Rattus norvegicus: one gene and its partner. The protein of the gene in region 1 binds, or shares a complex with, the protein of each later gene. Links are inferred from orthologs where the notes say so. Each region holds a gene or a part of one and is shown in the gene's direction. Other genes may lie near its edges.

Region 1 (3,995 bases):
ATTCACCATGTTTTTTTCCTTCGTAGGCTCACGCCAAAGTCTGGCGTCTCTACAACACCTCCTTCCGCCCCACTCAGGGGGGCCGGGTGTCCATCGCCTTAGGTTCCCATTGGATCACCCCTCGAAGGATGACCGACTATCACATCAGAGAGTGTCAGAAGTCTCTTGACTTCGTGCTAGGCTGGTTTGCCAAGCCCATATTTATCGATGGCGACTACCCAAAGAGTATGAAGAACAACCTCTCATCCCTGCTGCCCGATTTTACTGAATCCGAGAAGAGATTCATCAGGGGAACAGCTGACTTCTTTGCTCTCTCCTTCGGACCAACCTTGAGCTTTCAACTACTGGACCCCAGCATGAAGTTCCGCCAGCTGGAGTCTCCCAGCCTGAGGCAGCTTCTGTCTTGGATAGATCTGGAGTATAACCACCCTCAGATATTTATTGTAGAAAATGGCTGGTTTGTCTCGGGGACCACCAGAAGAGATGATGCCAAATACATGTATTATCTCAAGAAGTTCATAATGGAAAGCTTAAAAGGTAAGCTCTCAAGTAAAATTCCCATTTTTTTTGCCAAAATTCACACATGCATACTCCCACATACACACCCACCCACACACATACCACATATATCATACTGTACACACACATGCATATATATGTATCATATACACACCATACCATATACACATACACAAAAATCACATATTAAACACACACATCATATACCACACACATCAATATGACATGTGCCACACATCTCATACACGGGAACACACACACACACACACAACATACCACATACACCTTTTAAGACTACCTGCAAAATGTGGGTATATGATTTTTGTCACAATTTAAGCGGTGGGGAGAATCTATTATGTAACCCTGCTCTTTTTTGGACCCTTCGGAAACTTAATTTTCGAAGTTTCATAAAAGGAATTTTAATAATCTGCTGAAAACAAGATGAATATTTAGAATCAGTGGATTCACAGTCTCTCAGATACATTATTATATCATATAATACAGTATTAAAAACCTCAGATTATCGAGCCCTCTGTATATATTCCTAGCTCATTTGTTTCAGCGGAATAACATGCTTTTCCTTTAATTTTTTTTATTCTTCAAAATTGCCATACATTTATACAATGCATGTTGATCATTTGTAACCACAACTAGCTCCCTCTTTCAATAAAACGCTTTTTTTTAAAGCAAAAGGAATATTCATATGACCTAGATAAATTGAGCTTTAAAGACTACGGAAGTGGGTCAGGTATACAGTATTTACTGGCAACCCAAGGCCCTTGGTCCCATCCACAGCACAAGAAAAAAAAAGAAGACACGGTCACGATGTTAGGTCCCCAGGTTAGGAACAAGTCACCCTAGCACCCCTGGTACTGAGCAACTGCTAGGGCCTTTTGTAAACCAGAAAAAAAAAAAGTGTTTACCAAACAAGAAGCATTACATCTGACTTGTTTCTGTATCTTTTTTTTTTTTTTGAGATTTCATTTTTATTTTACCTATGTGAGTTTTTGCCTGCATGTGTGTATGCGATGCCCACAGAGGCCAGAAGAGGGCGTTGGATCCCGTGCACTGGTTAGAGTTGCGAGCCACCACGTGGATGCTGGGAACCAAACCTGGGTCCTCTGGAAGAGCAGCCAGTGCTTTTAACCACTGAGCCATCTCTCCAGTCCCTTGCCTTGTTTCTTTAAGTGGAAAACCCCTCTCTGCTCTTGAATCACACAAAGCCCAGTGGGGGATGACACCACTCTTGTCCTCTCTTCCTTCTGCAGCCATCAGGCTGGATGGGGTCGACGTCATTGGGTACACCGCATGGTCCCTCATGGATGGTTTCGAGTGGCACAGGGGCTACAGCATCCGACGAGGACTCTTCTATGTCGACTTTCTGAGTCAGGACAAGGAGTTGTTGCCCAAGTCTTCGGCCTTGTTCTACCAAAAGCTGATAGAGAACAATGGCTTCCCTCCTTTACCTGAGAACCAGCCCCTTGAAGGGACGTTTCCCTGTGACTTTGCTTGGGGAGTGGTTGACAACTACATTCAAGTAAGTCAGTTGACAAAGCCTGTCAGCAGTATCAGCAGGTCTCCTGCTTCCTCGCCAGGCTCTTGCCAGGGCGGCGCAGCATCAGGAACTTTGAGCCAAACAGAGCTCCCTAGAGAACTTATGAACTACATAGTCCAGCATGCTTCAGTCTTCAAACATCTTTCGCTCTACACCTTGTGCTTTCTATTAGATCCAAGGGCAAACAGAATCAAAACATGAATATGTAAGCTCTGTTAAGACAATACACCCCTTTAGGGTTATGGTTGAAATCCCTGCTCAGGAAGTTAAGTTTCTCATAAATAAGATTCAACACAGAAGTCCAGAGAGTCTCAGGGAAGCCGCTGAGAACGTGGCTGGAGTGTTTAACAGATCCCTCCTCACCGGAAATGCCCCGCTCCAGGCTCGTAGAAAACACCTCGAGAGAGCAGACCACAGCTTCAACGATTTATTGATAGCACTGTGGTGCTCCAAAATGATCAATTAGTACTTATTGAGCATCAACTGTGTAGGAAGTCCTCAAAACCGGTTTTTTAGTTTCCCTGGTTTTAAAGTGACTTTGTTTCTTGGGGTTTGACTGAATAATTTAAGTAAGCACTTGATGGCTGCCTATTGTGTACAAAACCCTGTGTGCGTTGCTGTGTTACCCTTGTGACGAAGACAAAAGTCATGGCTGAAAGATGCTATCTCTGACCCTCCCCAACCTCTGCTCTGACATCCTTCCTGTCCTTAGATGTTCCTGAGCTGTGAGTTTCTACATTAACCACTGCACCAAGAAACTTTGAGAAGTGATTTTCTTTTTTTCTTTTTTCTTTCTTTTTTTTTTTTTTTTTTTTTTTGGTTCTTTTTTTCGGAGCTGGGGACCGAACCCAGGGCCTTGCGCTTCTTAGGCAAGCGCTCTACCGCTACCCCGATTTTCTTTTTTTAAACCCTAAAGTTTCTCTTTCCCCCTCCTGGTTAGTGCTCCGTAATCAAGTGTTATGGCGTACATTTTACCCAAATAATTAAAAATATCCCCCTAAGCCGGGTGACGGTGGTCCACACCTTAACCGCAGCACTCAGGAGGCAGAGGCAGGTGGATCTCTGAGTTTGTGGCCAGCCTGGTCTACAGAGTGAGTTTCAAGATAGCCAGTGCTGCACAGAGAAACTCTGTCTTGAAAGACAAAAACCAAAACAAAGCAGCGCGCGCGCGCGCGTGTGTGTGTGTGTGTGTGTGTGTGTGTGTGTGTGTGTCCCCTAGCTACACGCCATCTGTTAGAAGTTTGTAGCTGAGGGGTTAGGGATTTAGCTCAGTGGTAGAGCGCTATGCCTAGGAAGCGCAAGGCCCTGGGTTCGGTCCCCAGCTCCGAAAAAAAAAAAAAAAAAAGTTTGTAGCTGGGCACATTCACATGGGGGAGGGGTGCGTGTCACTTTGCTCAGACCCAGTGTCCCAGCTCCTGAGTTTGCTCAGAACTCCTGATGCTGTTGGTTGACCAAAGTCAAGCAGATTACACACAACATGGAGCGACACTGTTGTCCACTCCTGTGAGGAGAAACTTTTATCAATAACAAATTAAATATGTGTTTGGCACTCATCCTTCCCCAAACTAAAAAACTTTTTAGTCGAACCTAAGGCAGTAAGTCTCTAAATTAGGTGGACTTTTGCCTGCCCACTCATTTCTACGGCTTTCCTAGTTTAGAGAACTGACCCCATTACCCCGAATCTTACAGGGTCTTTCATATTTTGTTTTTAGTTAGACTTAGTAGAAACCGTTTTCTGGGATGGCTCTGGTAGAGAGGTTACGAATTTAGTCCGTTCAGAGTTGAATAAAAATAGTCCGAAAGAGTTCTGAAGACGTGGACCTTAAAAGACCACGCGGCAGGTGGGTATTTTCTCTTGTGGAGCTGAGGCTGTGAAACATTTGTGGGCATTTGGCGGGGCCTTCTGACACATTCCCTCAGC
Region 2 (4,759 bases), on another chromosome or scaffold:
ACACTCACTCATACACACCATACGCACACACATGTACACACACATATACACACATACATACCATACGTACACAGGCGCATGCACACACACACTCACTCACACACACACTCACACACACACTTAAATATACACATACACATACTTACACACATATGCACACTTACACACACTCACTCACACATACACACATGCATACACACATACATACACATGCATACACACATGCATACACATACACATGTGTACACACATACACACCATATGCATGCACGCATGCACACACACGCATACTCACACTCACACTTTTTTTTTTTTGAAGACCAGCCTTAATGAGCACATCATCAATCGCAGCTATCAGGAAACAGAAGCAGGCAGAGCTCCGTTGAGTGAGAAGCCAGTTAGGGCTACATGGTGAGACCCTGTCTTGGTAAATAAGTAAGTTAATAATAAATACATATTTCAAACATTAGTAGCATGGTGCGCCTGTCTTATAGAGTTGCAATGAAGTTCAAAGTACTAGCAGATGAGAAAACACTCTGTAAACTGCAGAAACCTGGACCCAACTGGAATTGGAGGTGGAAGGGGCATCGCTACTAGCCTCAGCCATGTGCAAGCATCTGTGTGCTTTGCACAAGGCTAATTGTCTTTATCTGCTTCCTCCGCTGGATTTGTAACATCTTACTCTCTCTTTCATCAGCGCTGAAGTCTATCTTAAGGAACACTTATGCATTGTAGGAACTCAGTAACCTGGGACACTGAGTGACAACACTCCTTGTGGTCATAGGATATCTATTCTAACAGAACTGATATCTGTTCTAACAGCCTGCCCTCCAATAGACTGTGTGTGTTAGTTCTGCCTTCAACCTCCTTCCCCACATCCCACACAGCTGAGTCAGATGCACCTCCTCAGAGGGCACGCGCAGAGCAATTTCTGCAGTGAGGCGTCCACTCACACAAGGTCCCAGGATGTGGACTCCGGATGGGGAAGTGCCCAGTCCTGCAGCTCCTGGATGTTTCCTGACCTCTAACCCCTCTGATCAGCCAGCAGTGCCATTCCAGTCCTCCAAATGAGTCTCCTTCCTATTGGCAAAGCCATAATTGCCAGTTTAGTTCCCTGCGTCATCCAAACGAGGGAAACTGAGAAACCAGATCTTGCCATTTTTGCTGACCTCAAGACCTTGTTTTCTTTCTTCTTGTCTTGAGGTCTTTGCGAATGGTAATGGGGGGGGGGGTGAGCTCTGCTCCCACCTAACTCACCCTTCCTGAGGTATGTGTATAGGGGGAGTCTCGTTTGCCTGCTAGCATCCCATATCTCTATCTATTAAGACACCTGCAGCAGCCCGGAGTAGCTCCAAGCACACACTTGGCTGCTGGAGGTAGAAGGCTTGAGCAAACCAAAACAAGTACACTGGAGGGAGATGAGTTAGCGAGGAGGCGGCTTTCTGGTTTTCTGTTTTTTTTGTTTTAGCACTGCTGGCTGCCTTCACATTTCCTGATGGAAGTGGGACAGGTCAACAGATGACCCAGGGTCACAGATAACTTTTGCCCACACATCGTTCACTTATGAGAGCACTGGCTTGAAATTGAGGGGTGTGTGCGTGCATGTGTGTGTGTGTGTGTGTGTGTGTGTGTGTGTGTGTGTGTGCCTGGAACTGACGCGCCTTCCGCAAGCCTAAGAAGTCTGGGCTTTTTCTTCGAATGGATGATTACAACACAGAGGATGTGGCAGCATTGTTTTTCCTACTTGATGTCATACCACCACCCTTTAAAAGTCCCAGGGAAAAAAGGAGGGAATCTAGCCCAGGATCCCCACCTCAGTTCTCAGCTTCTTCCTAGGAAGAAGACAGTAAGGCCAGCGAGGTCCCAGGCTGTCTGGGAGTGTCAGATTTCAACCTCAGCAATAGCCACTCAGCGCTGTGCGATGCTGGGGGCCTGCCTCAGACTCCTGGTGGGCGCTCTGTGCACCGTCTGCAGCTTGGGCACTGCTAGAGCCTATTCAGACACTTCCCCACTGCTTGGCTCCAACTGGGGGAGCCTGACCCACCTGTACACAGCTACAGCCAGGAACAGCTATCACCTACAGATCCATAGGGATGGCCATGTAGACGGAACACCCCATCAGACTATCTACAGTGAGTATGGGCTCCAGGTTGGGAAGAGGAGAAACTCTCTACTGTTGACCTACAGAGGTATTGGGGAAGCCTTGTAGCTCCTTGTATGCATAGGTCTCTCTCTCTCTCTCTCTCTCTCTCTCTCTCTCTCTCTCTCTCTCTCTCTCTCTCTGTGTGTGTGTGTGTGTGTGTGTGTGTGTGTGTGTGTGTGTGTATGTGTGTGTGTGTGTGTGTGTGTGTAAAACCTAAGAGGAAGGGTTTTTTTCCATCCTCTTTATTTGACATACAGGTTTTTCTCAACCTGAATAATAACTGTTGTAACCCATTTCCAATAATGAGAGCTGATTTTCTTTCCATCGGTTCAGGAATTGGAGGGAAAAATGAATAGGAAGACAAGGACTCAAAGTAAAGAATAAGCCAGACAGAACTTAACTGGGAGATTGGTCAGGGTTATATAGTGAGACTGTCTCAAACAAAACAAAACCTTTCTCGAGGGACATTATGTTAAAGACAGACCACTAAGATGTGTCGTCTTGGCAAGTCTAACTGAATGCATCCACCCAGCGGCATGCAGGGTGCTTCAGAGGCACCCTGTGTGGTTGGTGGGTCTTCTCTGAGAAGCTGAAATGTGTTTAGTTGCTTATAAAACTTATTGCCTGGTGGTGAACTCACTGGTGATATGAAACAATTGGAATATTCTTAAGGATAGAGTCTATGGAAGATTGGATCGCAAGCTATACGTGCCAATCAACTAGATTATTCAACTGAGATCCCCTTTCAGTGTAAGGAATAATACATAGAAAACAGAGTAACAAGAGAGACAGGAATTGGAAACGACATATTTTCTATTTTACAGACGTATAAAGAATTCTAAATAGGGCTGGAGAGATGGCTCAGCAGCTAAGAGCACTGGCTGCTCTTGCAGCTGGTCCAGGTTCAGTCCAGCACCCAAGTGGAAGCTTACAGTGGTCTGTAACTCCACTTCCAGGAGATCCAATGCCCTCTTCTGCCCTCCGATGGCACTGCACAAATGTGGTGCACAGAGATACATGCAGACAAGACGGCCATACAAACAGAGCAAAACAAAACAAAAGAAAACTGAAAAGTTTCTCCAAAGGGGTACAGAAGTTGTAGCGGGGTTCAGGGTACAGAAGATGTAGCAGGGTTCAGGGTACAGAAGATGTAGCGGGGTTCAGGGTACAGAAGATTAGCGGGGTTCAGGGTACAGAAGATGTAGTGGGGTTCAGGGTACAGAAGTTGTAGTGGGGTTCAGGGTACAGAAGATTAGCGGGGTTCAGGGTACAGAAGATGTAGTGGCCTTCAGGGTACAGAAGATGTAGTGGGGTTCAGGGCACAGAAGATTAGCGAGGTTCAGGGTACAAAAGATTAGCGGGGTTCAGGGTACAGAAGATTAGTGGGGTTCAGGGCACAGAAGATTAGCGAGGTTCAGGGTACAAAAGATTAGCGGGGTTCAGGGTACAGAAGATTAGTGGGGTTCAGTGCCGTGTACAGCACTGAGCAGTGGTAGCTTGTCCCTCACTAAAAAATGTTCTGTAAGGATTACGATCGCTCAGTGCTGCTCTAATAAGTGAGCCTGTTTCCTGGATGTGGCCTTGCTGTGTGTGCAAACAGCCTTCTCTCTGCTAGAAACCAACAGACCTTAAACCTAGCAGCCAGGGACCTGGGACCAGGGACCGGCACAAGCAAAGCCAGCAGCTTACACCTGCCTACAGGCTACATTGACAGGAGATGGGAGGAGGGGGAGGGGAAGGGGGAGGGGGAGGGGAATGGGGAGAGGATGGGAACATGGGGGAAGGGGAGGGAAGGGGGAGAAGAAAGAAGAAGAGGAGGGAGAGGGGAGGGGGAGGGAGAGGGAGAGGAAGAGGAGAAAGATTCTCTCCAAACATGAGGCATGCTCCAGAACTCAGGGGAATAAAGTGGGACCTTGGGGTTACCTCTTGGAAGTCAGGTTTGAGACTGATGATGAGAATCTGGAGTAAATCTGGGTACACTTCATGGGTCCCCCAAACTGCTCATGCTCTGTGGAACAGGACCTACAAGGTGCCAGACACCACACAACCCTCTGTCACTGGAAGTGTGACATAGTTCTTCAGAGACCTCTTATCTCCCAGTGCTTTACCAAACTTTTAGGAAATGCCATTGTATTTCTCTCCCTGGAAGACAGCCGTGACTTCCGCTGCAGGACTACACGGGATGTCAAGGGCTGGACAGCGGATGAGGGTGAACTATTTTGGTTCTATGGATTGGAAATTTGCTTATAATTAGAGAATACGCATACAACGTTCCTAGAATCATAGAATTTCTTTGCTGAAAGGTGGCCCCTCTGCGGTGAGTCTGGAACAGTCCATCCAGGCCAGAGGTAGGGAAGGAAGGATGTGTAAGGTCAGTCTACTTTGAAAGCAGTTGAAATGGCAGGCCTTTTTCCTTGGGAGCTTGCAGACACCAGGACTGGAGGATGCCAGGAGAATGAATGTGACTGAGAAGCAATAAAATGAGTTAACCTGACTTTAGCTGAGTGTAATTTCTGTCTTGTGTAAGCTTCGCCTTTGAGGGGGAGTAGCACTAATCTGATGTGCAAATCTTGCTTACGCGCATTTCTGTAAGAATGACTCTTTGTCTTCTTGTCT

Evidence for each region. The genes of interacting proteins can lie anywhere in the genome.
Region 2: the proteins of Kl (region 1) and Fgf23 are in contact, whole or in part, in a cryo-EM structure (PDB 7YSH), measured with the Homo sapiens proteins. The link is inferred for Rattus norvegicus from reciprocal best matches to the Homo sapiens genes KL and FGF23. Residues at the interface, in NP_004786.2 of Homo sapiens: Phe377, Lys385, Leu389, Glu390, Pro392, Trp417, Phe418, Ser420, Lys429, Tyr432, Tyr433, Lys436, Phe437, Arg468, Ser471, Ile472, Arg556, Arg693, Asn694, Met695, Thr696, Tyr697, Ile735, Val752, Phe755, Asp756, Asn782, Asn783, Leu785, Ile812; in NP_065689.1 of Homo sapiens: Leu39, Met74, Ala80, Val88, Arg91, Leu166, Ile167, Phe169, Asn170, Ile173, Arg175, His177, Asp184, Ser185, Glu186, Arg187, Asp188, Pro189, Leu190, Asn191, Val192, Leu193, Lys194, Pro195, Arg196, Ala197, Arg198, Met199, Thr200, Pro201.

What each region holds. Positions count from the first base shown.
Region 1 is NC_086030.1:5,356,748-5,360,742, forward strand, and holds part of Kl (klotho precursor), read left to right. Parts: intron 1-26; coding exon 27-537; intron 538-1,787; coding exon 1,788-2,056; intron 2,057-3,995. UniProt on the Homo sapiens protein: May have weak glycosidase activity towards glucuronylated steroids. However, it lacks essential active site Glu residues at positions 239 and 872, suggesting it may be inactive as a glycosidase in vivo.
Region 2 is NC_086022.1:161,598,644-161,603,402, forward strand, and holds the start of Fgf23 (fibroblast growth factor 23 precursor), read left to right. Parts: upstream 1-1,795; 5' UTR 1,796-1,921; coding exon 1,922-2,132; intron 2,133-4,759. UniProt on the Homo sapiens protein: Regulator of phosphate homeostasis. Inhibits renal tubular phosphate transport by reducing SLC34A1 levels. Up-regulates EGR1 expression in the presence of KL. Acts directly on the parathyroid to decrease PTH secretion. Regulator of vitamin-D metabolism.